7 linked regions of the Neurospora crassa OR74A genome follow. The protein of the gene in region 6 interacts with the protein of the main gene of each other region in a pairwise test. Links are inferred from orthologs where the notes say so. Each region holds a gene or a part of one and is shown on either strand. Other genes may lie near its edges. The genes, in order: NCU06217, NCU09349, NCU08121, NCU06090, NCU00337, NCU01257 and NCU09528.

The links.
Region 1: the proteins of NCU01257 (region 6) and NCU06217 interact in binary tests that used the Saccharomyces cerevisiae proteins (3 or more experiments, as listed by UniProt). The link is inferred for Neurospora crassa OR74A from reciprocal best matches to the Saccharomyces cerevisiae genes EBP2 and NOP4.
Region 2: the proteins of NCU01257 (region 6) and NCU09349 interact in binary tests that used the Saccharomyces cerevisiae proteins (3 or more experiments, as listed by UniProt). The link is inferred for Neurospora crassa OR74A from reciprocal best matches to the Saccharomyces cerevisiae genes EBP2 and HAS1.
Region 3: the proteins of NCU01257 (region 6) and NCU08121 interact in binary tests that used the Saccharomyces cerevisiae proteins (3 or more experiments, as listed by UniProt). The link is inferred for Neurospora crassa OR74A from reciprocal best matches to the Saccharomyces cerevisiae genes EBP2 and RRS1.
Region 4: the proteins of NCU01257 (region 6) and NCU06090 interact in binary tests that used the Saccharomyces cerevisiae proteins (3 or more experiments, as listed by UniProt). The link is inferred for Neurospora crassa OR74A from reciprocal best matches to the Saccharomyces cerevisiae genes EBP2 and RRP14.
Region 5: the proteins of NCU01257 (region 6) and NCU00337 interact in binary tests that used the Saccharomyces cerevisiae proteins (3 or more experiments, as listed by UniProt). The link is inferred for Neurospora crassa OR74A from reciprocal best matches to the Saccharomyces cerevisiae genes EBP2 and NOC3.
Region 7: the proteins of NCU01257 (region 6) and NCU09528 interact in binary tests that used the Saccharomyces cerevisiae proteins (3 or more experiments, as listed by UniProt). The link is inferred for Neurospora crassa OR74A from reciprocal best matches to the Saccharomyces cerevisiae genes EBP2 and NOP16.

Annotation. Positions count from the first base shown.
Region 1 is NC_026503.1:1,936,258-1,940,292, reverse strand, and holds NCU06217 (nucleolar protein 4), read right to left. Parts: upstream 2,801-4,035; 5' UTR 2,626-2,800; coding exon 307-2,625; 3' UTR 143-306; downstream 1-142. Other genes in the region: NCU06216 (nuclear condensin complex subunit 3), read left to right, coding at 3,340-4,035. UniProt on the Saccharomyces cerevisiae protein: Required for 60S ribosomal subunit synthesis. Probably involved in the processing of 27S rRNA to produce mature 25S rRNA.
Region 2 is NC_026502.1:4,196,597-4,200,608, forward strand, and holds NCU09349 (ATP-dependent RNA helicase has-1), read left to right. Parts: upstream 1-1,287; 5' UTR 1,288-1,430; coding exon 1,431-3,047; intron 3,048-3,116; coding exon 3,117-3,236; 3' UTR 3,237-3,512; downstream 3,513-4,012. UniProt on the Saccharomyces cerevisiae protein: ATP-dependent RNA helicase involved in 40S ribosomal subunit biogenesis. Required for the processing and cleavage of 35S pre-rRNA at sites A0, A1, and A2, leading to mature 18S rRNA.
Region 3 is NC_026501.1:344,305-347,531, reverse strand, and holds NCU08121 (ribosome biogenesis protein), read right to left. Parts: upstream 1,765-3,227; 5' UTR 1,571-1,764; coding exon 968-1,570; 3' UTR 501-967; downstream 1-500. Other genes in the region: NCU08120 (mitochondrial ribosomal protein DAP3), read left to right, coding at 2,216-2,837, 2,918-3,227. UniProt on the Saccharomyces cerevisiae protein: Required for ribosome biogenesis.
Region 4 is NC_026507.1:1,847,947-1,852,106, reverse strand, and holds NCU06090 (hypothetical protein), read left to right. Parts: upstream 1-1,360; 5' UTR 1,361-1,598; coding exon 1,599-1,619; intron 1,620-1,741; coding exon 1,742-1,825; intron 1,826-1,935; coding exon 1,936-3,426; 3' UTR 3,427-3,879; downstream 3,880-4,160. Other genes in the region: NCU06089 (exonuclease), read left to right, coding at 1-715. UniProt on the Saccharomyces cerevisiae protein: Involved in ribosome biogenesis and cell polarity. Required for the synthesis of both 40S and 60S ribosomal subunits and may also play some direct role in correct positioning of the mitotic spindle during mitosis.
Region 5 is NC_026503.1:3,495,407-3,499,609, forward strand, and holds NCU00337 (nuclear export protein Noc3), read left to right. Parts: upstream 1-1,403; 5' UTR 1,404-1,568; coding exon 1,569-3,599; 3' UTR 3,600-3,729; downstream 3,730-4,203. Other genes in the region: NCU00336 (U3 small nucleolar RNA-associated protein 10), read right to left, coding at 1-837. UniProt on the Saccharomyces cerevisiae protein: Required for synthesis of 60S ribosomal subunits and the transport of pre-ribosomes from the nucleoplasm to the cytoplasm. Also required for initiation of DNA replication.
Region 6 is NC_026505.1:3,393,320-3,396,810, reverse strand, and holds NCU01257 (hypothetical protein), read left to right. Parts: upstream 1-1,213; 5' UTR 1,214-1,269; coding exon 1,270-2,224; intron 2,225-2,351; coding exon 2,352-2,707; 3' UTR 2,708-2,991; downstream 2,992-3,491. UniProt on the Saccharomyces cerevisiae protein: Required for the processing of the 27S pre-rRNA. Probably involved in the step of the processing of the 27 SA precursor into the 27 SB intermediate.
Region 7 is NC_026505.1:4,474,525-4,477,961, forward strand, and holds NCU09528 (nucleolar protein 16), read right to left. Parts: upstream 2,196-3,437; 5' UTR 2,027-2,195; coding exon 1,911-2,026; intron 1,830-1,910; coding exon 1,247-1,829; 3' UTR 501-1,246; downstream 1-500. Other genes in the region: NCU09527 (hypothetical protein), read left to right, coding at 1-152. UniProt on the Saccharomyces cerevisiae protein: Involved in the biogenesis of the 60S ribosomal subunit.

The sequences.
Region 1 (4,035 bases), on a different chromosome or scaffold from region 6:
GCGAGAAAAACAAAGCAGGCAAACAGGCGTTCTATTATATAATAATAGCATGTAGAGGGCGTACAATATTATTGAGCGTTGTCTTGGTTAAGAACTGCCAGCGAAAGAGTTCACGAGTGTCCACGGCGGAAATAGACTGAGAGGTGTTGGAAAACGCTAAGGGATTGCTTTTGATCGTGATAAAGGTATACTTAGATAGCAAACAGGAAAGGCCCTAAGAATAACATAAATGGTTTAACATTCCGGGCCAGCAGCAGAAAAACACACACTCTCTCCCTACATTAGGTAAACTCCAAGAGCCCAGGCTTATTTCTTGCCCCTAATGTTAGCCTTCTTTTTCCTCTGTTGCCTCTTTCTCGCCAGGATCTTGGTCATGAGGGCCTCCTTGACCATCTCACTCTTCTTGCCCTTCTTATCCACCTTGATATCTTCAGCCTTCACCTCCTTCGCCGGGGCGGCGCCTGCGGCCTTGGCCACCTCAGCCGGGCCCTTCTTATCCTTGCCCTTGTTCCACCCAGCAGGCTTCTCAGGCTTAGCGCCCTTCTTCCTATCCGCCTTCCTTCCAGCCTTGTATGCCTCCTTGGCCTCCTTGGATCTCTTCTTTTCCTCCATCTCCGCCTTCCTTTCCGCGGGCGTCATCGTCCTTTGCTTCTCCTCATCCTGTCTCCTCCGCTGCACCACGTTCGCGTTCTCGATCGCGAACTCGACAATCAGCCTTTGCGTCTTGCCCAGCTCGTTCTTGACGGCAAACCCGTTCAGGTAGCGCAGGCCCATGAGCGCCCAGCGGTGCGACGAGTACTCGATAAAGCCGTAGCCACGCGACTTGCCGCCACCGACCTTTTCGTCCACCTTGGTGCCCGTGGTCGTCTCGAACACGATCTTGGCCTGCTTGACGACACCCTTGCCCTTGAGCTTCCGGAGGCGCTCGTTCTCCTTGTCTTGCTCACCACCGCGCGAGTTTTCTTCCTTGGAGATGGGCGCGCGCTTGCCTTCCTTGACGTCCTTGGCGAAGCCGACGACGGCCTGGCGCGCGAGCGCCTTGAGCTCCTTGGACCCGATGTTGCGCGGCAGGTTGCGCAGCGCGAGACGGGTGAGCGACAGGTGCAGCGACGGGTTGGACTGGATCAGCTTCTTGCGCTGGTTGGCCGACGCTTCGCGCATCTTGATTTCGGCCGGGGTAAGGACCTTGAAGAGCGTAGACGAGGGTGTGATTTGGCCCTCGTTCAGGAGGTACAGGCGTCTCTTGTCCTTGTCCTTCTTACCGGCCGAGGCCTCCGCGAGACGCTCGGCTTCGTCCTTGGAGACGGCGTGGGCGACTTGAAGGATGCGCCCGTCGAGCGTGTACTTGCCCTCCGGATCGACGGTCTCGTCTTGAAGGATGGAGTGCTTGACGAGTGTGGTGGTAGGTTGATGGCGGGGGGCGCCCTTGAGGCAGGCCTTCATCTCCTCCTCGTTGAAAAAGCACACGAAACCGGTACCGGCTGGCCTGTCGGTGGCCTTGTCCTTGACAACTCGGGCGTATCTGATGCCGCCGAACTGGGTAAAGTGCGCCTTCAGCTGCTCATCGGTGGTGGTGTATGGTAGGTTGCGAATGAAGAGTGTTAGAGAGTTGTCGGTTAGCCGCTTGGGCTTCTGTTCCTCCTCCTCATCCTCCTCGTCCTCCTCGTCCTCCTCGATATCATCTTCGTCCTTGTCCTCATCGTCTTCATCCTCGTCCTCCTTGTCCTTGTCTTCGTCCTCCTCGTCTTCACTCTCGAGGTTCTCGCCTTGGCTCTTGAAGAAGTTGTAAAGATCCTTTTCCTCCTGTGTCATGCCAGCAGTCTCCTCCTCCTCTGTCTTCTTGTCCTTGGGTTCCTTAACCTTCTTGTCCTTTTTCTCCTTCTTGTCGTCTGACTTTTCGCCGTTCTGCTGGGCCCATGTCTGCTTATCCACGGCCCAGTCGACGGCCAATGGGCGGCCATCGACCTCCATGCCATTGACGGCCTCGATAGCCTTTTCGGCATTCTTGCGACCACGGAGGGTGACGAAACCGAAACCAGAGAGCTTGCCCTTATCGTTGGGCAAGTCGGCGAACCTGACCTTACCATATGGCTTGAATAGCTCGGCCAACTGCTCAGGCTTCTTGATGCTCCATGGCAGGTTGCGGATGATGAGTTTGTTGGGTTTCTGGGCCTCGGCGACGGCTTCGGCACGTTTCTGCTTCTCCTCGGCGACCTTGGACACAACGGGTCCGGTCTTCTTGGCATCACGGTGTCTGGCTTCGGCAATGTCGAGCTTCAGGCGCTTCCCTTCAAGCAGGTAGTTGTTGAGCTTGGCCTTGGCCTCGAGGGTATCCTCGGGATCGGTGAAGGTGACGAAACCATAGCCGCGCGAGGTCTTGGTCTTGGGATCGAGGACGACGGTGGCATGCTTCACAGGGAAATGTTGGGAGAAGAACTCGGTCAGAGACTCGGCGGTGGCACTTGGAGGCAGCTGTCGGATGAAGAGAGAGCGGTTGGATTCAACTCTAGCTTTCTTGCTTGGGGGGTTCTGTGCAGCAACATCGGAATCCTTGATGGCATCGGGATCAACTGGGATCTCCTCGTCCACCTCGCGTTGGCGCTTCTTGTTCCCGTCCTTGCCCATTATTGCAAGCAATCGGGTTGTTATGTTATGTGTTTGTTAGGTGGTGTTGTTGTTGAAAGAAGGGGAGAGATGAGAAAGCAGCCAAATCAAACCAAAAGTGAAGAGAACAGACCCTCTCAAGGCGCAAATGGTGGATGGGAATCGCCGAGTGCACAGCTTCCCCCAGCGACAACAGTTCTGGACCCTTCGCCCAAAGAAAAATATTCGAAGTGGAGTCCCGATAAGAGCGTACAAGGGAGCTTATCGTTTCCCTCAAGCTTGGCAGCGGGATCCTGAGCCCGTCTCTTCCACTTCCTCTCTTCGCGCGCTTCCACAATCCACACCAAAGGAAAGGCGGGGCGCACAGACCATTCAAGCTCACCAGCAGGGTCGATACGTTTTGCGACATACAGCGCAGCGAGCAGCGCGACCCCTCTGCAGCAGGTCAGACAGTCCCTCCCGCTAGGTGACGACGGGGCCGCCAGGAAATTCACAGCAGCCCACCTGCAGTGCAAAGTAAACAAAACAACCTTCATTCGCGAATAGTGTCACTTTCATTCATCCCCGGCTCCTGCTCAGTTGCAAAAGCCATCCTACGAAACCTCACATCCGTCTTTTTTTTTTGCTTGTTTTCTTATATCTTGGGCTTGGATTACTTGTACCTTTTCCATATCGCATACAAATAGAGGACTGCCGCTGTGCAGGCCCCGCTAATACCAACAGTCATTGCCGACCATGGCGCCGGGCAGATCGACGAGAGCGACACGCGGGGCGCGCCAGACCTCGGTCGTACCAGAAGCACCCTTGGATACTCCCGACAATGCGCTACGCACACAAGTCGCGACCGTCTTCGGCGACGCCCAAAAGACCACGGCATCCCATCGCAAGCTGGCCGTGACCCTGCGCAAGATACAAGAAGCATGCTGCTACGAGCCGACGAGTACGAAGAAGCCCGCCGAGGCCGACGAGTTCGAGGAAGATGACTTCAACAAGGAGTTTGTACGCTGTGTCCTGCGCGTCATGCCCATCAAGAAGAGCGAGGGAGTCGGCGAGAAGACGGTGCGCTTCATCGGTCTGTTCCTGCGGCATGCCGTCGAGAAGGATAACGAAATTCTCGGCGAGGCCGACCCGGACGCCAGCACCATGCCCGAGACACCCAGCACCCGGCTTACCGGACACTTGATGGAAACCGTTCTTCCCTTGATGATCGCCAAGGACAAGTTTGTGCGCTATCGGTCAACGCAACTCATATCTCATATCATCAACTCCCTCGACGCGATTGACGACGACCTCTTCCAGAAGCTACGGTCAAGTCTACTTAGGAGGATTCGCGACAAGGAGGCCATGGTCCGGGCACAGGCTGTGCTGGGTCTTGGACGCTTGGCTGGCAACCAGTTCGAGGGCGAACCGAATTCCGACGATAGCGACGAT
Region 2 (4,012 bases), on a different chromosome or scaffold from region 6:
CCAAATTACCAGCCCGATCGGCTTGAGCCGTGTCTACGCCTCCTGGGGCACCACTTGGCAGCAGAAAGACGGGGAAGTGAGATACAGAGTGTATCGAGATTTAACATAAACGTGGTTTCGATTCAAGAACCAGAAGTTCTTGTCCGATTTTATTTTATGGGATGCCTTCTGGATTGTTTCCGTGATGTCTGTCCGTGGTGTTGAGCGAGTGGTGTTGAAGAATAGGGCCATGGGACCAGATTATATCATGAACATCAACTTCCGTGCTGATACCTCCCATTGGAACCATTCTCAGCCTCAGATCGTGGAAAGATGCGACCCAAGGCAGCAGTGAGCCAAAGACCGAACCACACTTGTGACTCGGTCAACTCCATGGAAAATGATCATGTTTTCATGTAATAAAGGTGTTGTTACTTCCGACGTGACCAAGATAGCATCCCGTCAGCCTTGAGAGAATATGAAGGATTCCGAAGGGGTTCATGAAACTTCACTTCAGCCAATGTAATGATGCGAGGATATTGATCTGCCATGTGTACTGTTATGTATCGACCCAGGGGCCTCTCGGCGAGTGACACTTCCAACCCAGGGACCTGGATTCGAAGCTGACTGGTACGTTCCAATCTTGCGCCCTGTATCCCGCAGACGGGGTAAGTTTCCAGCTGCCCCGAATTATCGATTATCGATCAAGGCAACCCGTAGCCTGACTATGGACTTGTGTCAAGGCCTTCGAAGTCGTCCGCTGGACGGGAACTGCAAAGTCCACCAGGCTATTGACTGGTCTGTCTCAATCCACTAAACCTTTGGAATAGAAATGTAACATAAGAAGAATACTGCAATGCCAGGATCTCAGAGGTACTGTACAGCGTTTGAATATCCGCAGTGTAAAGCAATGCCACCATGGACGACATCCAGAGCCTAATTCCGTGAGAGGGACAACGAACATGAAAGACCGACTACACGCGGTTACGTTGAGTATATCATGTCTATGACAGACTGGAGTAATTGCAGGAGAGGTGAAAGCGTTGTGATAATAAACGAATATCAGAGAAGAAAACAACATAATGCGGATTTGAAGATAAGAGGAAATGGACAAGTTCAGTTCTCGACTCTCGCAAGCAATTGGGGGCACAATTGGCGGGTTCCGGGGTTCGGCTGATCTGCAGTCAAAAGTGGGGTCAACACTGGGACGGCTGTAGCGCACAGACCAGGTTTTCATCAGGAGAAGAGGGCAGAATTGGCAAAATTTTCACCGCCTGGTGTAATCCCTGGTTATCGAACAAGCGATAAGAAAAAAATCCCCAGCGAAAGAGAAGGCAGAGGAAGGATAACAGATTCGACTCGCTGGGAATTTGAACGGAACCATTGCGACGCCCTTTTCCCAGAGTATCGCAACCACCCACCGACAGTACCAACCCCCCCACGCCATCACGATGGCTTCCGAATTTAGCAAGAAGCGCAAGCTCAAGGACGCCAAGATTGCGACCGAAGATGGCGCCGCCACCGACAAGAAGACCAAGAAGGTGAAGAAGGACAAGAAGGAGAAGAAGGCCGCCGAAGAGGTCGTCGAGGACGCCACCCCCGAGGAGGAGAACGATGCCCAAAAGGCGGAGGAACAACAAGATGGCGACGAGGTCATCCCCACCGGCAACGGGGACAAGGAGGACAGCGACGACAAGGACGCTGAGGCCGGCGACGAACTCACAAAGACCAACGACTCCCTCATCGCCCCGTCCATCGCGACCAATGCCACCGACTTCTCCGAGCTCAACCTGTCCGACAAGACCATGAAGGCCATTGCCGAAATGGGCTTCACCAAGATGACCGAGATCCAGAGGAGAGGTATCCCGCCTCTGCTCGCCGGCAAGGACGTCCTCGGTGCGGCCAAGACCGGTTCCGGCAAGACCCTCGCCTTCCTCATTCCCGCTATCGAGATGCTCAGCTCCCTGCGCTTCAAGCCGAGAAACGGTACCGGTGCCATTGTCGTCACTCCTACCCGCGAATTGGCTCTCCAGATCTTCGGCGTCGCCCGCGAGCTCATGAAGAACCACTCCCAAACATACGGTGTCGTCATCGGCGGTGCCAACCGTCGTGCTGAGGCCGAGAAGCTGGGCAAGGGCGTCAACCTGCTCATTGCTACTCCCGGTCGTCTGCTCGATCACCTGCAAAACACTCCCTTTGTGTTCAAGAACATGCGATCGCTCATCATCGACGAGGCCGACCGTATTCTCGAGATTGGTTTCGAGGACGAAATGCGCCAGATCATCAAGATCCTGCCCAAGGAGGACCGTCAGACCATGCTCTTCTCCGCCACACAAACCACCAAGGTTGAGGATCTCGCCCGTATCTCGCTCCGTCCCGGTCCTCTTTACGTCAACGTCGATGAGGAGAAGCAGTTCAGCACGGTCGAGGGTCTGGACCAAGGCTACGTTGTCGTCGACGCCGACAAGCGCTTCCTGCTCCTCTTCTCTTTCCTCAAGAAGATGCAGAAGAAGAAGGTCATTGTCTTCTTCTCGTCCTGCAACTCGGTCAAGTACTACTCCGAACTTCTCCAGTACATCGATCTTCAGGTTCTCGATCTCCACGGCAAGCAGAAGCAGCAGAAGCGCACAAACACCTTTTTCGAATTCTGCAACGCCAAGCAGGGCACCCTCATCTGCACGGACGTTGCCGCCCGTGGTCTCGACATCCCCGCCGTTGATTGGATCGTCCAGTTCGATCCTCCTGATGACCCGCGCGACTACATTCACCGCGTCGGTCGTACCGCCCGTGGTAACAACACCAAGGGCCGTTCGCTGCTCTTCCTCCAGCCCAACGAGTTGGGTTTCCTCGCCCATCTCAAGGCCGCCAAGGTCCCCGTTGTGGAATACGACTTCCCCAAGAGCAAGATCCTCAACGTTCAGTCCCAGCTGGAGAAGCTGATCGGCCAGAACTACTACCTTAACCAGAGCGCCAAGGACGGTTACAGGTCGTATCTCCACGCCTATGCTTCGCACAGTTTGCGGTCGGTGTTTGATATCCATAAGCTTGACTTGGTTAAGGTGGCCAAGGTATGTTTTCTCTTCTCTCCCTTTTTCTTCCCCAACACCAGAACAGTCACTAACGTACTACAAAAACAGTCCTTCGGCTTCTCCACCCCTCCCAGGGTAGACATCACCCTGGCCTCCAGCATGTCGCGTGACAAGAAGCAGACGAGCAGGAGAGCGTATGGTAGCCAGCCGAAGCAGAACCGTCACTAAGCGAGGCGGGATTCGGTGTTCGTGTTGTTGTTGTTGTTGGTTAGAATACGAAAAGGGGATGATGATTTGTCAATGTTCTCTCTTAGATATCCATCGGGCATTCGGTGTGGAGCATAGTGGGTGTTTTCTTTTGTGTTGCTACTTTGCTGTTTACTTGTTGTTGTTTGCGCAAGCTGCCAAGGCGTTTTTGGTTGAAAAGTAAAACTGGAGGGCTTCAAATCAACAATTAATTTTTACTTTACGTTGCTGCTCCGTTGGTGTGGTATTTCTGATGCTGTGCCGTTCGGTCATCTCGGGTGTCTTTCCATGTGAGGATGGAACATATTATCATGCTGACAGTTTCATTTGATAAATGGTAAGAAAGACCTTGAACAAACCACATCATATCTATTTTGCTACGCAATTGGAAAGATCGTGATGTTGATATGGCTGATGGAAAGCATGGAGGTCCTGAGTGTCACTCTCTATCAAGGATCCTTTGTAGGGATTCATAATCAATACCCAAATTAGGTAGCTGACAACCGGTACCAACTCAACACTAACCTCCAACAACAAAGCATGAAACAACCCACTGATGACAGTCTACTATTTCAGAACGACCTACATCGATACCTATTCTATCTGCAGCCCCAATCGACCCCCCGAACCTGAACTACATAACAGACGGAAACTCCCCGACACAAACCAACCTAACAACTTTACCAAATTTCACCTCGTCCCCAATATCCTCCCCTTCCCCTTTCCCAATATCCTCTCCTTTCCCTTCCCATCACTTC
Region 3 (3,227 bases), on a different chromosome or scaffold from region 6:
AAAGAAGAAAAACAAGGAGAAAAGAAGAAGAAGAAGAAGAAGAAGAAGAAGAAGAAGAAGAAGAAGAAGAAGAAGAAGAAGAAGAAGAAGAAGAAGAAGAAGAAGAAGAAGAAGAAGAAGAAGAAGAAGAAGAAGAAGAAGAAGAAGAAGAAGAAGAAGAAGAAGAAGAAGAAGAAGAAGAAGAAGAAGAAGAAGAAGAAGAAGAAGAAGAAGAAGAAGAAGAAGAAGAAGAAGAAGAAGAAATGACAACAACCAAAAAGAACGAAAAATGAAAGTGATTATAACAGATGAGAGAAAAGAAGAAGAAAGAAGCAGACTTATTACCAAGGGACCCATGAGCGTTTCTGTTGAGCCTAAACACATACGATGAACACCTGACAGGAATGGAATTACGAATGCAAGCTTCATGTGAAAAAGAGGTTTAGGAACTTTTCAAAAGGTTTGTTTACTGATGATGCCTTTTTTTTTTTTTTTTTTTTTTTTTTTTTTTTTTTTGATGAGGATACAGCCATTAACGCCAGTTCGGGTGATCTCGTTGTAGTCTGTGGTAAAAAGAAAAAAGGCGACTTGAATCTGATAACTTTGTCTTTGTAATGTAATAGAAACCTCCCAGTAGTACAGTAACTAAGTATATAAACGACCTTGAACGCCCGAAATGCCCAGGCCCAAAATGCCTAGTAGATAAGGTAAAGGAACAACGAGACCTCTTGTCTTCTGTCTTGTGTCTTGCCTTCTTGTATAGCCTCTGCTGAGGGAAGGGAGGCCTGCTGATGCTGATGCTGATGCTGATGTTGATGCTGATGCTGATACACGGGTCAACATCAACTCACTTCACTTCACTTTCAGTTACTCATCTTGATGGCCTCCCTCCCTTCTTTGCATGTTTCCATCCACACGCCTTCCTCTTCATCTCCATCTCTTGAAATCCAGTACCCCTACTGCTCAAGCACCCCATAAAACAGGGCGCTCACTTCTTCCTCCCACTCTCCCTCCGCTCATTCGCCCTCATCTTCCGCTCATTCCTCTTCACCCGCTCTCTAATCTCCCGTCTCTTATCCCCCCTCACACTCTTCCCCTCCGCCATCCGCTTCTCCTCCTGGCTCTTCTTGACCTCAATAATCGGCGCATCCTCGCCCGCCTTGTTGGCGCCCTTGTATCCCCACTTGCGGCCGAACTCGCCCGTCGTCTCGTCATACTGCAGGTTACGGCGCTGCTCGCGCGTCTTGGGCTTGATGCCGCGGCGCTTGGCGAACTGGCTCCATTTCGTCTCGGCCTTGGGCGTCGGCACGGGTTTCTCGCGCGGGAGAGGGGTTTGAGGAGGCGGGAGGGACAGTAAGACACCCGCCGGGGTGGAACTGATGGGGCAGGCCGTGAGGAGTTGGTTGATGAGGGATTGGCAGCCGTCGCGGGCGATGGAGGCGAGTTGGGGTTCGAGTGCGGAGGAGCGGTCGAGAAGGAGGGGGTTGGGGTCGTTGGCGAGGAGGAGGCCGAGGTCGAAGGTGTAGGGGGTGGGTTTGTCGACTGTGACGGGGAGTTTGGTGGTGGTGGTGGTGGTTGTTGCGTCGGACATTTTGATGGTGTTTTTTTGGTTCTGATGGGCGCGGCGGGTTGATTGAATGGTTTGGTTTAGGTTGATGAATAGGTAGTTGGTGGTTGTTATCGGCGCGCCGTGTGGGATTCCGTTAGGCTGCCTTGGTGATGTTGATGGTGATGGAAACAAACAGGTGACTTGGGGTATCTTTTTTGTCGTTCAGTTGGCAGAACTGGGGATCACATTCTCTGGGAGGACGGGAGAGGTGCTGCTGGTTCTGGATCTACTGAAAATTTAGGCGGTAACAGGCGGCAGATGCGAGCTTGGAGATGGTGCGGGACCGCTGCCAATTGCAATCTGATGTTCTCATTGGCTGGAAGACCCCAAACAGGCAAACCACCGACTTCTTGGCGCCGGGGAATTTGGAGGCACTGGTCGCCAAGTAGGTCGAGTTGGTCCGAGCTTGCGAACTTTCCAACGCGCGCCCGCTCCCGCTCCGCTTGCCGTGTGCCCGGGCATCACAGGTCCCCGTCCCCGTCCCGGTTTGTTGTGTTGACTTGCGACGATATTATTTGCCCGGGGTAGTTTTCCACGGGCTCTCAGCTGTGTTTCAACCACACCACACACCACCCACAGCAGTCCGATCGACCGACCGTCTGACCGGCCGACCACCCGCCCGCACACATGTCGGCGTCCAACTGCCTGAGGTGCCTCGTGCGCCCCTCGGCCGTGGCCCTGGTCCCCCGCCAGATGCTCCAGGTCGGTGGTGGCAGCCTCACCTTCACAGCGACCGCCGCCACCAAGGGCGCCTCCTCCGCCAACACGGGAGGCCGACAGAACGCCAACCGCCCCCAGAAGCTGCGCTTCAAGAAGACCAAGAAGAAGAACGTGGTATCCTCGGGCAAGCCGCCTCTGCCCGGCGAGCGCAAGGCCTACCGCAAGAAGATTGTGCTCAGCAACAACAATGCCCTGCCCGTGCCCGGCCTCGAGACCCTGCGCCCCAACGACCTGGCCAAACAGGACAATGTCGGCTCCGTCAAGGCCCTGCCCGAGGATGTGGTCGACGCCCTGCGCGCCATGGAGGCCTTCAAGCCCACGCAGTGCTGGGGCATCTTCCGCCAGCCCTCGGTGCTCATCCGCCAGGAGACGGTCGACCTGACCAAGAAGATGAAGGCGGCTGGTGCCGACGGCAAGACGATCCGCATGGTCATTGAGGGCAACAGGGTAACGGGCAAGAGCTTGCTGCTGCTGCAGGCCATGACGCATGCGTTTATGAACGACTGGGTGGTGTTGCACATTCCCGAGGGTAGGTCTCTTTCCTATTTGTTCTTTCCCTACCATTCAAACTCCATAACTGACATACTGACTTTGTAACGTGAAAAACAGCCCAAGAACTAACCACGGCCGTGACCGAATACGCCCCCATTGAAAACTCGCCGCTCTGGACACAACCCACCTACACGCTCAAGCTCCTGCAATCCTTCAAGCGCGCCAACGAAAAGGTCCTATCGCGCATGAACACGGTCTACTCGCACGCCGACCTCCCGCAAATCATCCCCGTCAACTCGCCCCTGCTGCAGCTCATCAACAGCGCCAAGGAGGCCGACGGCGCCTGGACCGTCTTCCAGGCTCTCTGGCGCGAACTCAACGCCGAGAACGTGCCCGGCCGCCCGCCCATCCTGTTCTCGCTCGACGG
Region 4 (4,160 bases), on a different chromosome or scaffold from region 6:
CTCTATCGAGGAAGCTTTTCGGAGCGTTCCGGATGCTGTATGGAGTTCGTCAAAGGCTCGTCGTCGGAGCGGAAAGGTTCAGTTTGTCGAGGAGTCACCGTCCTCTGAACCAGTGTCTCAGGAGAAGGAACAGGAAGATTTGGAAGAGCCATCTCTTCCTGCGATGCCAAGGAGTACCACCATTGATGCCAGCAGCGATGCCGAGGACGAAGTGGAAGTTCCTGGCTCATCATCGCAAGAGGCCATCACCAAGAAAAGTGTGAAATCCCAGACGCCGCTGGGCCCTCGGCTCCGGCAATTCTCGTATCAACCAGGTAAACCCGGTGCTCGCCTTGTCAATGGTCTGCCTACACCTTCCTCAACCCAAGAGAGATCTGCTGCGGTGCGTAGATCATCGTTGAATCCAAGCTCGCCCATGTTGACTCCGTTGCAACGCATGGGAGCCCGGGCATTGAAGCAAGTTACACCCCGCGCCACGCCTCCTAGCAGCCTCCGCGCACGTAAATCAAGCAAGCCGAGCGAGGCTCTCGGCTCCGTCCAGGTGGATCCCGCCGCCATTCCGTTGCCGTTGGCCGACTTTGCTGAAGTTAGAGCCCTGAACATGTCGCTTCAGGGGAGCGAGGATCAGATTATTCCTGAGAGTGATGGAGAAACCGAATTGGGCACGGCAGCCACTCGTCCGCGACTTAACTTGGCGCAGTACCTGTATTCGTGAGCCCCCAACTCGTGCTCTCTGGAGTGTATTAGGAGAAGCCAGATATGTGGTGTGCATAGCTCTCGGCGTATCGGTAAGGAAGAAACCCCGCCTGGAAAATGGGTGGGCTTGAATTGTACTATGGTCTGTTGTAAGGAAACGAGGAAAGATCATGGGTCAGGAGTATTATCAGGCAAAGAAGGCAATCATGGAAAGAGCAGGCTGAAGTAAATGAGGAGAACTTCTATTGCCTGTTATGCGATAACATTGCCCTGATGGGCCATTCATTGATGGCCTTTGTCCAGAAGGTAGCTATATCACTTTAGTAGGAAATAAACAAACAATGGTAACCATGATGAAGGAACACTGTTGCACCTGTCAAGACACTGTCAGGAGACATGTCACCATCAGATCCAAACATAAATCCTATAGGTATACTATACACGAGGTAGACGGGAGCGTGCTAGAATAGGCAAGTATCCCTCTAACCGCGATAAGATCGATGAGTAGGTGCCAGGGCAGTTCACCGCCTTTGGCAGAATGCCAGAACCCCAAGCGTGAAAGTGTGGGGCAAGGTGCTGGGGGGCTCCACACTGCTGGGAACAATCCACTAAAATTTCACTGTAATCCACTGGCGAACAAAAATTCATCGAGACGGGAAACAGTCGCTCGACCACAGCCGACCCGCCCTCCACTGTCTCAATTTTTCCATCTGGGTTTCGTTTCGATACCTCGACATACTACCTCGACCATTATTCCGCCCGCTCGACATCACTCACAACCCCATCACAGCGAAATCCCGGATTCGACTTTCTTTGTCGCCTCAATCACCTAGGTCTCTCTATTTTAGCGACTGGCAATCAACCAGGTCGACTCGTACAAGCGAAAACCAGCGTGTGCAAAGATGGCGGATACCGATTTGCAGGTAAGCAGACCGGCGCTGGAATGCACACCACCGATACGGTGATACCCATGGGCTGGTAGTTGTGGCCAAACTGGGATGGCTAGAGTTCGACGCTGACCATGCCGTCTTGCGATTGCGAACAGGAGCGCCTGCGTTCTCACGCTCAGGCCTTTGACGGTCTACTGTCGCTGATCCCAGCCAAGATGTACTACGGCGAGGACAATAGTGTACGTTACCCCCACCCGTTGACTTAGCTCTTCATCATAAACTCAACCATTGATGTTGGTGTCAAAATGCCTTCGATCGCGTCGCTGATCCCAAGTAACCCCGCCAACAGGATCAGTGGAAGAAGAAGAAGCAAACCAAGGAGCAGGCAAAAGCTGCTAAGCGGGGGAAGCTCGATCCCGACAGTGAACTCAACCGCAACGCCAAGGAGGTCATGGAGGAGCGCGCCCGCAACAAGCGCAAGCTCCAGGAAATGGAGGAGAGCAGCACTGAAGACAGCGACATCGACGTCGAAATCCCTGGTGTTGAGAAGGAGAAGCCTCTTGAAGGACTGAAGAAGAGGGTCGTCAAAGACGACGCCGAGACAGAAGAGTCTGCGCCTAAAAAGCAGAAGCTTTCCGAGGAGGAGGAGGAGGTGGTGGAGGAGGAGGCCGTCCCCGCTGAGAAGCCCTTGAGCAAGAAGGAGCAAGAAAAGGAGGCCAAGCGTCTCGCAAAGCTGGCCAAGCAGGAGAAGAAGAAGGCCAAGCTCGAGGCGAAACTAGGCAAGGGTGGAAAGACGGAAAAGAAGGACGACACCGCCGAAGAAGCCAAGCCTTCTACCGAAGCTAACGAGGACGACGAGAACGACGATATGGCTCCCATTGATGTGTCTGGTCTCGTAACAAAGGAGGATGAGGGCGAGTCCCAGGAATCCGCTCAATCTTCTGTTTTCGACAGTCGCGACAAGGCCGGTTCCGCCGAGCCTGCCAGCGCCAACACCTCGATCTCTTCCGCCGTTCCCCCATCGGATAAGCCCAAGTTCAAGCTTCCCGCCGATACCACGGTTCTCCGCGAGCGTCTCGCCGCCAAGATTGAGCAACTCCGTGCCGCTCGCAAGGTTGAGAAGGACGACGAGGGTAAGCCCATTCGCACTAGGCAGGAACTCATCGAGATGCGCCGCGAGAAGGAGGCCAAGCGCAAGGCCCACAAGCGCGAGCAGAGACAGAAGCAGAAGGAGGAGGAGGATCGGAAGCGGTCAGAGGCTATTGCCAGCTCGCGCAACTCTCCCCTAAGCATGCTCAGCCCCAAGGACGATGTTGAAACCAACTTTGCTTTCGGACGTCTCGCCTTCTCTGATGGTGTTCAGCTTTCTCGTGACGCCGCCTTTGTCAAGTCCGACGGAACCAAGAAGAAGGGCCCCACGGACGCCAAGTCCAAGCTTGCCAAGCTTGAGGCGCAGAAGAAGCGCCTCGAGGCCTTGCCTGAAGATAAGCGCAAGGAAGTCCTTGAGAAGGAGACGTGGCTCGCTGCTCGCAAGCGTGCCGAGGGCGAGAAGGTTCACGACGACGAGCACCTGCTCAAGAAGGCTGTCAAGCGCAAGGAGAAGGCAAAGAGCAAGAGCGCCAATGAGTGGAGAGAGCGCAAGGAGGGCGTCGCCAAGGCCCAGTACGATAGGTCAAAGAAGCGCGAGGAGAACATCAAGAAGAAGCAGGACGAGAAGAAGGCCCGCAAGATGGGCATCAAGGTCAAGAGCGGCAAGGGCGGTAAGGGTGGAGGAAAAGGTGCTTCCAAGGGTAAGAGCAGGCCTGGATTCGAGGGCGGATTCGGTGGTAAGAAGAAATAAGCGTCGGATAAGGTGTTCAGCAAGGGGTGTTTTGTCTTTTTGGAGAGAGATGTTGATACCACTGCTGCTGCATAGCGGCAGATGCTCGGGAGGCTGGCATATCCTTTTCCCATTCTTCTGCCTTGTCGCTACGTACATATTTCTTGCTGGAAGGGGGTAACAGGTGGTGTTTTTGGCGTTTGTTTTTTTTCCTCATGGTTTTTCGTTTCTTTTTTCTTTGCACGGTCGGAATGGAAAAAGAGATTATATCACACGTACATATCACAACTGGACCAGATCACGACAAGCGGTTAACATGGTACGAGGCTGGGCAAGCCTTGTCTTTTGTTCTTTTATACTTAGCTAGCTTTTAGTAGTGGTGGCGAAGGGAGGAGGTAGGGGCTGGAGGTCCCCCTTCTTCTTCAGCGAGGCAGCATCTTCAGGGAGTTAAAAAGTGATTATCAGCTCACCGAGTCTTTTCTCTTTTTTTGTCCGGTGACTTGAATTGGTGATGTGAGACGCATAGCTTCCCTTTCTTGCTTGTCTGATACCGAGGCGCTCTCCGGTGTAGGCGTTAAATTCCAGCTGTGAAATGAGGTGCTGTTAGTGCTGGGTGGTCGGACTCTACTTTATTCGCAATCAAAGCACTAACACGGCGCCTGGAAGCCGACATAATTCTAGGTGATGCTACACGATTTTATCATGATCGGAGCAACCCGTGTTCCGTTCCACAAGGGAAGCTTGGAAGGGGTTAA
Region 5 (4,203 bases), on a different chromosome or scaffold from region 6:
CTTGGCAGCCAGAATCGTCACAACCATGTAGCTGGCAATCTGGAGACCGGGAGAGCTCTTCATGACCATGGCATCGCTGAGGACCGGGCCAAGCTGCTGCATGAGAGCGTTGTCGTTCTCGATCTGGATGCTTCTCCTGCCGGAACGGTACTTGTCGAGCAGACCGTTGGTGGCTTCAACCATGACACCACCCCAGAAGGAGATGAGGCCAGGGTATTCCATCTGGTACTTGCAAGAGTCAAGAGTGTACTGGGAGATGGCGGTAAGCAGCTCGGGGCGGTTCGTCGCTTGCTGAACAATGGCGGCGCGAGGGGGCGCGGTCAGAGAGCGGATGTAGGGGTCGAGGAAGCGGTACTCCTTGGGGATGTTGGCGGGCAGGATGGACAACAAGGTCACAAAGGCCGGGATGGTATGGTATGGGAGGAAGGTCGCGATGAGAGCAGCCGTGTTGAACTCATGAACGCGGAACCGGCGGATCAACCACTCGATGGCCTTGATGGTGGGCATGAGACGCAACCTGCTGCCGCACAGGTGGAGGAAGGCCTCGACATGCTTATCGAGGGCGGCATTCTCAGCGGCGCTCATCTGTGTCCTGTCGGCCTCCTGGCTTTGTGGGCTCCATAGCGACTGGGTGAACTTGGTGAAGCGCGAATCAAGGTTGCACAGCTCCTCAAAGCCTTCGAGGCATATCGAGTAGATCTCGGGGTATGTCTGGGTAGCGGCAACGCGGGGCTCGAAGATCAGGGACTTGGAGTGGGCGGCCTTGAGGACCTTGGTGTTGAGGGTCGACCGCGAGTTGGCAGCGATCTGGGCCAACTGGGAGGCCAAAGACGACATGGTTGGGTGTTGGTTTCTACGATTCGGCTTTATGGTTATCGTATGGTACTATCGTCAAGGAGAGTCGACGTCGATATTTCGATCGCGTCGCAAAGTGGGAATTCGATCGGCCTTTCGGCGCGTGGTGGGAGACGGGGAAGAGTGCAGTCTCGATTGTGTATCGTGGGGTAGAGACTGGGATTACGGGAGGTTGGATGTGTGTACAGTGGTCGAGAAAGAGATTAGGTGCCGCGGTCTCTCTTTGCTGCGACGAGGTTGATGTTTTCGGAGAGTGCCCCGTCGGTGGGTTCCTATTTGGATGGATGGAAGGAAAGGGAATTCAAACTTGGAGGAGGAGGTGCGGCCACTCGAAGCTCCAGCGCAAGCAACTGAACTCGACCGCAAAACTCAAAGTGCAGTCAATCGATGGCCGTTCATGGTTCAGCAACTTTTTTTTCCCCAAGCGGTGGGGTCCGATAAGAAAGCTAAACCAACCACATCCCGCCGATAAGACCCCCAGCTTTGGCAGCCAGGGTCCAAAAAGTTTGGAAAATGTTCCTGAGCGGTTCCTCATCTCAGTGAAGAACAAACAATCGATACCCATCCATCTCCACTCCAGAACACCGCTCGCTCCCGTCTCACTTCAGTCTGTCTTCAGCACACATCGATCAGCCGCCCACACTCAGTGTTTCAGGTTCACTTCACATCATCTCACAACCCTCCAACTGCACAGACCATCACCAGCCACCACCATGTCTTCCCATCCTTCCAAGCGGAGGAAGCTGACCGAGGGAGGCCAGTCCTCGGACGGCGCAGCAACCAGCGACGTCAAAATTCAAAAGCAGTTCTTCAAGAGTGCACAGAGCTGGAACCTCGAGGAGGACTATGAGAACCGCCCCAGGAAAGGAAAGAAGAAGAAGGAGAAGAAGGTCGCCGATGCCACGAAACTGCCCATCAGAGTTGCCGAGGGAACCTGGGTGACGCAGGAAGAGGAAGACGCCGAGATTGCGAGCGATGCCGAGTGGTTGGAGAGTGAAGGGGAGGAGGCCCCTGAGGAGGAGGAGGCTCAGCCCGAGCCAGAAGCACCCAAGATTCCCGAGCGTGAACAGATCAGGAGAGCCCAGGAGGAAATGGCCAAGATCGCAACGCAGCTCAATGAAGACCCAGAGGAGCATCCGGGTGCTTTCAAGGCGCTCGCCAAGATTGGAGAGTCGGACCTTCTCGCCATCAAGAAGCTCGCCATTGTTGTCCAGATGACCGTCTACAAGGATGTCATTCCCGGCTACAGGATAAGACCGGCTTCGGAGGATGTTGCCAAAGAGAAGCTGTCCAAGGATGTCAAGCGGCTACGCGTCTATGAACAGGCCATGGTGACCGGCTACTACCAATACATCAAGACCCTTGCTGCCCTCGCCGGTGGATCGATTCGCGACAAGTCCAAGCAGCCCATTTCCAGCATCGCCCTTACCTGCGCCTGCACCCTTTTGAACGCAGTACCGCACTTCAACTTCCGCGGTGAGCTTCTCAAGATTCTCATCAAGAAGCTGAGCTACAGAAATATCGATAAAGACTTTATCAAGTGCCGGACCGCTCTCGAGACCCTGTTTCACGAGGATGAGGATGGTCAACCCGCCATGGAGGCCATTTCAGTACTCACAAAGATGATGAAGGCTCGTAACTACCAGGTTGACGAGAGCATCCTGAACCTGTTCCTCCACCTGCGTTTGCTTAGCGAGTTTTCCGGAAAAGCTTCCAGAGACACGGTGGAGAAGCAGGACGATGGGTCGGTCAAGAAGCCGAAGCAGAAGAAGGAGTTCCGCACCAAGCGTGAGCGCAAGCTTCTTAAGGAGCAGAAGGAGGCTGAAAAGGTCATGGCCCACGCCGACGCAGCTGTGAGCTACGAGGAGCGAGAGCGGATGCAGTCCGAAACGCTCAAGATGGTTTTCGCCTCGTACTTCCGCATCCTCAAGATGCGTATTCCCAACCTCATGGGTGCCTGTCTTGAAGGTCTCGCCAGATACTCCCACCTGATTAACCAGGACTTTTTTGGTGATCTCCTTGAGGCCCTAAAAGACCTGATCCGCTACAGTGAAAAGGACGCCAACAAGGAGGACGAGTCGGACGACGAGAACAAGGAAGAGGAAGAGGATGAAGACGACGAGCACGAATTCGTTCGTGACACCAGCCGCGAAGCCCTCCTCTGCACCGTCACCGCCTTTGCTCTTCTCGAGGGCCAAGACGCCCATAACGCCCGCTCGGACCTTCACCTCGATCTCTCCTTCTTCATCACCCACCTCTTCCAGTCCCTCCTCTCTCTCTCCGTTAACCCGGATCTTGAACTCGGCGCCCAGTCGCTCCAGCTCCAAAACAGCGTGCGCCGCAACAACCGCATCAATTTGCAGACCACCACCGTCCTGCTCGTCAAGTGTCTCAGCGGCATCCTCTTGCCGCCCTGGAACATCCGCTCCGTGGCGCCGCTCCGTCTGGCCGCCTTCACGAAGCAGCTCATGTCCGGATCGCTCCAGGTGCCGGAGAAGTCAGCCCAGGCGCTTCTCGGCTTGCTCGCCGACGTGCTCCACACGCACGGCAGGAAGATCAGCTCGCTCTGGAATACGGAGGAGAGGAAGGGCGACGGCACTTATAAGCCACTTGCGGCGACAGTGGAGGGTAGCAACCCATTCGCGTCGACGGTGTGGGAGGGCGAGCTGTTGAGGAGACATTACTGCCCCAAGGTGAGGGAGAGTGTGAAGGAACTGGAGAAGAGCATCAAAAGTATCAAATAGCTGGTGAAAGGGTGATGTCGGAAGGGATTGTCTTGTTATGTCTACGAGACTCTAGGTGTAGGTTGTTGGAGAGTATACACGTTAGCTTTGGCATAGAATTATTATTGTTGAAACGATTCTGGATATCTACGAGTTTATGGCTGTGAAAGTGATTTCAATGGCGGCTGGCAGACACAAAGCCACCACCATACCAACGGGTACTTTTGTCGACCAAACCCATCATGATCACAGTGGAATGTGGTATTACTTCAGTTTCTTTGGAGATCTAAAAGCAGGCGGTCGCATTTGTTATGTGATAACACTTGGAGAATGAGCCTCCTCCACTGCACCTTCCCAAGACATTTCCAACTTTCAGTTGGCCATCAGCTGTTTTCCCTCCTCGACCTCCATTCAGCCGACCATCCTGACCTTTGCATCATTTTTCTTTTCTTTTCATCTTTTCTATTTTCTGCTCTAGCTCTGTCTCACCGAGTCGGGTCAGACTTGCCGAACCATGGCGGCTGTACATTAAACCGAGGCATGTCCGTAGCTTCCCCTCAGCCTCATGCGAGTTTAATTGGTGAGGTGAAAAATCTTTTGCTGTCTGATGACGATCGTCATATCG
Region 6 (3,491 bases):
CGACACTCAGGCAACTCACCTTATCTTTCTGGACCCTTTCTCTCTTTTGTCGTTGATTCGACACCAAACACCCTTTGCGGACTGAGGACATCGCCGGCGGGAAACGATGCAGCAACTTCTCTTTGGTTCACACTCTTCGGCAAACGTCACCTGGGAGTCGGCGGACTCACACCTTCCAACCTCAACCTCTTCCATCTGCTGGGAGGGAGCTATTTCGCGACATGCTTCTCTCTTTTGTTGGGTGGGACTTGCACGGGCTTGGGTATGGCGCTTGGTTCACCACTCCTTTTTCTTTGCGCACTTTCTTGGAATTTTCTTGGATAGGACTGTAGAGGAGGGAAGTCTTCCTTTCTGTCTTGGCAGGGAGGGGGGACTCGCGGGATGAAATTTGTGGAGGGGGAGGACCATGTGGGGAGTTTTCACTGTATCTTTCTGATCTTGGTTTGCGGAGGGGAGGGATTGTGGGGGTGAGTTGGCTTGGTTGAAGGATTTGAAGAGTGTTAGTTCTTTTAATAAAAAAAAAACCCCGGTTGACACCATATCTTTGGATGCTCTCATGACCGTGACTACCTCTATGATTGTGAATTTCATTATCATCGTATGCCTCTTCGTAAGACTTTTCAGAGCAACTGACTTTAGTGATAAAGCTGTCAACTTGCAAATGGAACGCTTGATCGATCATCAAGGCAAGATACGCGGAGGAATGGCCTCGGCTCCGAGAAAATATACTACATCCCATTACATGTATCAGCTCGACGTCCCAGACATATTTCTGATCTGTTTCGGCCAGGTTAGGTTCGTGATGTTTGCGCGGGACAAGGCTCCTCCACTGAACGCGAAGTTTGATGTATCAGGAGACTCGTGTTGAATCACCTTGACACAGGCTGCGGGTAGCTTACGAGAAACTGGGCAGAGATACACAGGGCATGGTGATATACACTAGCAATCAATCTTGAGATCACCGAGAAAACGCAGTTCGGTGGGTGACCATCACCGTGACTACAGGCCCATTGTAACTCGTAACCTGAGGGTTGGGGTTTGATGTGCCAGATTCAGAGAGAGTGTGAAGGGCACTTCCAGGAGCTGGGCTGTGGATACCTCTATGCCGGGCGCCAAGCATCCACATTTGGGTCCGCCTCCGACCCACCAGGCTTATCTTATCGGGTAATGGCAGCCGCCATGTCAAAAAAAAGTTTCCAGAACTGCAAGCGCTGCCGCTTCTCGAGCTCATCATCCAAATCGATTGTACAGCAACCCCACATAATCACAATGCCGCGACAGTCCACCCGCACAAAAAAGCCGGCCACCAAGGCTCTTGAGGCTGAGAAGATCGAGAAGATTGTTGAAGAGAAGCCCCAGAAGGAGCAGAAGAAGCGTGGCAGAAAGCCCAAGCAGGTCGTCGAAGAAACCCCTGTAGAGGACAAGATGGATGTCGAGGAGGAGCAGAAGGCGGAAGAAACCACCACTCAGACCAAGGCCGACGAGAAACCAGAGCAACAGGAAGAGGCCGGTTCAGATTCTGAGGAGGGTAGTGACGACGAAGAGGACAACGATCTCGATCTTGATGCACTTGACGAATCCGATTCCGACTCAGAATTCGAGCGCGACCTGAACGAGAAGCAATCCGCCGCCGGCATCCAGGCAAACAAGTACCAGAAGGCCGCCGAGGAATCGAGCGACGAGGAGGAGGACGAGGATGAGATCGACATTGATGAGCTCGACGTCGACGGAGAAGAAGGAGAGGAAGTCAAGGCCATTTCGAGGGCGCGCCAGACAATAAACAACAAGCAAGGTCTCCTGACGGCGCTCAAGCGCTTCGCCCTCGACACAACCGACAAAGTCCCATTCGCCTTCCACCAGTCCATCGTTGCCAAGAAGGTGACGGAGGAGTCCATCCCCTCGATCGACGACGACCTGGCCCGCGAGCTGGCCTTCATGAACCAGGCGCTCGAGGCCGCCCGCGTCGGCCGCGCCCTCCTCCGCAAGGAGGGTGTCCCCTTCACCCGCCCTACCGACTACTTTGCCGAGACGCTGCGCAGCGACGAGACTATGGAGAAGGTCAAGGCCAAGCTTATCGAGGAGGCCACGGCCAAGAAGGCCTCGGCCGAGGCGCGCAAGCAGCGCGACCTCAAGAAGTTCGGCAAGCAGGTGCAGGTGGCCAAGCAACAGGAGCGTGCCAAGCAGAAGCGTGACACACTCGAAAAGATCAATCTTCTCAAGAAGAGTACGTGCCTCTCCTACCCTTCTCCTTCCCCTTCCCTTCTTAATTCCATAACAAGTTCTCTTCCTCTTCCTTCCCCTCCCCAACTTGATGATAACTGAAGCCAACTAACCTCCGCCTCCTTAAATAGAGCGCAAGGACGGCGGTGGCCCCACCGGCGCCAACGAAGCCGAAGACCTCTTTGACGTTGCCGTCGACAACGAGCTCAAGGGCGGCCCTGGCGGCAACAACAGCAAAAAGCGCGGCCGCGACGGCAAGGAGGGCGGCGGGCCCAACGCCAAGAGGCAACGGAAGGATGCCAAGTTTGGCTTCGGCGGCAAGAAGAAGTACGCCAAATCCAACGACGCCCTCTCGTCGGGCGACGTGAGCGGGTTCAGTGCGAGGAAGATGAAATCGGGCGGCCCAGCAGGCGGCAAGCCCAAGAAGTTCAAGCCTGCGCCTAGGCCTGGTAAGGCTAGGAGAAAGGCGGGGGCTGGAAAGAGGTGAAGTGAGTAAGCTTCACTGTGGCAGGAGCGAGAAGAAGCAGTGGAAGTGAAGAGCGGTGTCGATGCCATGATGGGTAATCTGTTTAGTTTCCAACCTAGTACAACAAAAGGTCAGCACGGCAGGTTGGTGACAAAGGTGGTAGTAGCGTGTATGAGTATACATCATCATGGGACCGGTCATACAACAAACATCATTGAAGGATTCAGATCAATTCAGTAGCCACTACCTTTACTTAGATACCTAAAGAGTTCTTTTCATGCCTTACAGTTTGATGGTGTTACCCGCTTGGCTCAAAGGTCCTTTTCTCATATCATTCATCTTGCAGAATGGCTATATCCGTTCACCCGAACAAACGGGTTCCTTACTTTCACCTTCATTCAAAGGCCCCCGATGTCGGCTCGTGAACAAAAACAAATCTCGGTCACTACAGTTTGTGAGAGTATCATCCTGTCACGGACGAGCCGCGCAAGGGCCATCGCTACTTTAAGACTAGGTACTTCAGATACACTAATACACGAGACATCCCCCTTTCACTCCTCGAACCCGCATGGTAAGGGGTTTGATGCGCAACACCATCGTAACGCCTGCTTGCTGCTATTCATCGAGACGAGCCTAAACCCAAACCCAGATTCAGACCCAAATAGACCTGGGAAGACCCATAACCACCAACGCCAGACATAGACCCGCCTTTCCTGAAGCTACAAGCAAATAGAAGAAAGAAACAACAACACAAAGAGCGGCTCATCCAATTCAACCCCACCGCTGTGTGGGATTAGGACGAAAA
Region 7 (3,437 bases), about 1.1 Mb from region 6:
TTGACAACGATAACGATTATCAATCCTCCGTCGGCGGCGGCAGCAGGTACGCGCCGCCTAGTGTGCATGATGGGGACTACGAGGATGAGCCATCGGCAAGGTTTCCCACTGCGCCCTACGGCCGAGTAGGAATCGAACGGGGGAATGTGTAAGAATGGGATTAAAAAAAACAGAAGGGTCGAGAATTCAAGTCAAGGGATATGGATGAGCTGGACTGATCGACTTTGGATCTGGAAGCGGATGCAATACCGGGTAGCTATACGCTGCAGCATGCTTAGGTCATGTACAAAGTGTCTTGGCTACCTGCTTTCTTTTTTTTTGTTATTGGGGGCTGGCTGGCACTAGACGAAACATTTTGGGCTTTTTCTTGTGTATGTATGTGTGTAGGCTTTGTTTTATGGGGTGTCGTTGGCGAGGCGTCACAGGTCCTTGTTGGTTTATCATGCATAGAAACGAGAGAGATATCTTCGTGCATCAACAATGAATCACAAAGCTCTCATATCGGCTTCATGGAATGCTTTGTATCTGTGTCATTCTTATTAAACTCTCCCATATTTGTGGAGATCTACGTAGAACATGATTCTAGGTGACAAACAAGATATGATACGATATATGTGGATGGCTCAATGGCCCTAATTCTTTTCATGTACTTTGAGAAACGCCTAAAACGCCCGTGGCCTTAATGAATAGTATGTATGCTGCACAAGAAATCCTGGTTCCCGTCCCATCATCCGTTTTGCTTTTGCTCATTACCGTTGAGCAAGGGAGCGCGAGCCGAAGTAGCTCCGTCACCTGTTTCTTTGCCAGTTCCCCATTCCACGAGAGGGTCGCCCCCTGAAGCGAAGTATGATGAGGCGACAGCGGGGAGAGTCTAACTGGCATTATACCAGTCTGAGAGAGAAAGAGAGACAAAGAGAGAAAGACAAAATCCGTTGCTCTCTTCTTTCGAGACCTGTCGAGCAGAGCCATCTCGGCTGAAGGATCAGCCGTGTTGGGTCGCTCTTTCTCCCTCCCGCCGACTCTCGTAGCCCAGCTTACAGGACGAGACTGGACATGGGTCCGGGCATTTGTCGCCAGGCTCCCTCATCTCTACCCTTATCTTCAGACCACAAACCGAGCTCACCGGTGATCCCAAGAACATCCCCTTGCAAGAAGCAGTCACATTCCAGTGATGATGAAGTTCACATCACACTCGCGCATGCAATTTGCCCCCTTCTTCCCCTCCCTCGTTTCTTCGTCCGCTTCTTTACTGCAACAAGCCAGCCTTCCTCAACCGCTTGGTAATGTCGCCCTTGGTCTGCTGCATCGGGTTTAACTTGATGTCGCGCACCATGGCAGCTACATCGTCGCCGTGCTTAGCCACTAGTCGCTGCAGCCATTCTAGCTCGCGCTCGCTCTGGTAGCGCACCGTCTTCTCCACAGGGCGCGACGCCTCCTCCTCGAGCATCCGGACCACCTCGGGCCGGCTGCTCTGGGCAATCATCTCCTGGCGGTCGTCGCTGATGCCGTGCCATTCGATATCATGGGTTGGGTTCTTGGGCTTGGGTTCCTCGGATTCGGAGTCGGACTCGATCTCGTTGAGCGGGTCGTTGAGCGGGTTGTCCGAGCGCAGGACCTTGACGATCTTGCCCGAGGCGTCACGCTCGACCTTGACCTCGCGGACCTCGAACAGGCCGCGATCGGCCGACTTGACGGCCAAAGGATCATCCTTGGTGATGCCGGCGTAGTTGGCGGCGGCGGACTTCTTGGCCATGCCGCCGGCGGCGGTGCCGAGCTTGGCGACGAGACCGAAGCGGGAGTAGTTTTGTGAGAGGGTCTCCTTCTTGTTCCTGTAGTACATCAATTTTTGCATGTCAGTACTGAATCTCCTCTCGAATATCTGGCAACAAAAAGAAGAGAAAGGTACTTACCAGGCCTTGGCAACGATGCCGCTGCCCTGGGGGTTCAAGACCTTCTTCTTGATGGTATGCGTCTGGACCTTGGCGCGAGACGAGCGCTTCTTGCGCTTCTGAAGTTCTCTGCCCATTGTTGCTGTGGTTTTCGGGAAGTAGGTACTATGTGGTGTTGCTGAAAGGACAGGAGTTCGACTGCCAAAAGATGCTGGGAAGAAGAAGGCGAAATGGGAGTAAACCAGCAAAGAACGATGACGGCGACAACAACAACGAAGGCGGAAGTTGACCAAAATTTCGGGGGAAACCACCCCAGAGAACTCGATTGAACTGGAACTGCAATGGCTCCTGTCCGATAAGAGAATTATAGTGGGGCTGTTGTCCCTTATCGACCTTACAGGTTGTTCGTTACTTGGCAAGCTTGGGTACGTTCCCTCAGTCCAGTCGCCAGCTGGCAAGAGGGCCGTAATAAAGATACAGTCCCTACTGCGTAAGTGTGTACCTAGGTAGTGTAAGTGGTGTATTGTATGTAAGCACGTACATAAATACCGCTTCCTCAGGTTCCGTTTCTAATCCTCTTGTATCTTGCTTGCCTTTATTGCCGTCACCAGTTCGTTCATCAACAATCCTTCTCCCAAGGGTGATGATGGCAACTTACCTAACGACTATTTCCTCGGAATTGGACCCTAACTTTCACGGCCATCATAGCCGCGGCTTCTTGTTCTGCTCGCAACTGGTGAGGCGCCAGCGGCCGCGCCAGTCACCACCTCACCATTGTCACCATGATCATTACCCATTGGAGATATGAACAGACTTGTAATCATTGCTAAATAACTAGCTACGCACTTTGCAAGTTTTCCGGTAGGGCAACTTGATTCCCGTCTCATCCCATCCCCAAAACACCCTCCATGGCCCCCGCCACTATCCATTCGACGCAGGCACGCGGGTCATGCCTGAAATTTCATTTCTTTTTTATTCAAATCCAACCCGCCTTCAAATGTCAGCCTTGTACTTCCAAAGACATTCGGTAGTATGCGACCTAACTGTTGACATGTTCATTTCAAGTGCCTCGGTCATCATCACCCTGCTACATGCCGGCCAATGCCCATCAGAGCCCGGAAGAACACTGCGCAGAATGGGAAGCCGTTCGACATACATAGGTGTACTGTAGTGGCCAGCCAATTGTCTTTCATGGTGTTCTAGACGTTTGCCTATACAAGTACCTAGACAGCGACCGAGGTCTTGCTTTTTCTTCCCCAACTCCTCTCTCTTCAAACGCCCAGCCCATAGTTCGCAGCAGAACTCAACATCTTACCCACCTCCCCCTCCTTCTTCAACCCCATCCAACCTCAATGCAACATGGAGATATTCAGAACTTGATGAGGGGGGCCATGCTTGGGATAGTCACCTTCCTGTTAAGTCTAGGCGTAGACTTCGTTAGCCATGAGGTTTAGTCGAAATGAGGGGGTAGTTGGATACATGTCGAGCGGGATGTGGGGAGTGGTAGCGGCGAGGAGGTATACCTCTCAGTACTTATGTACGTACTAC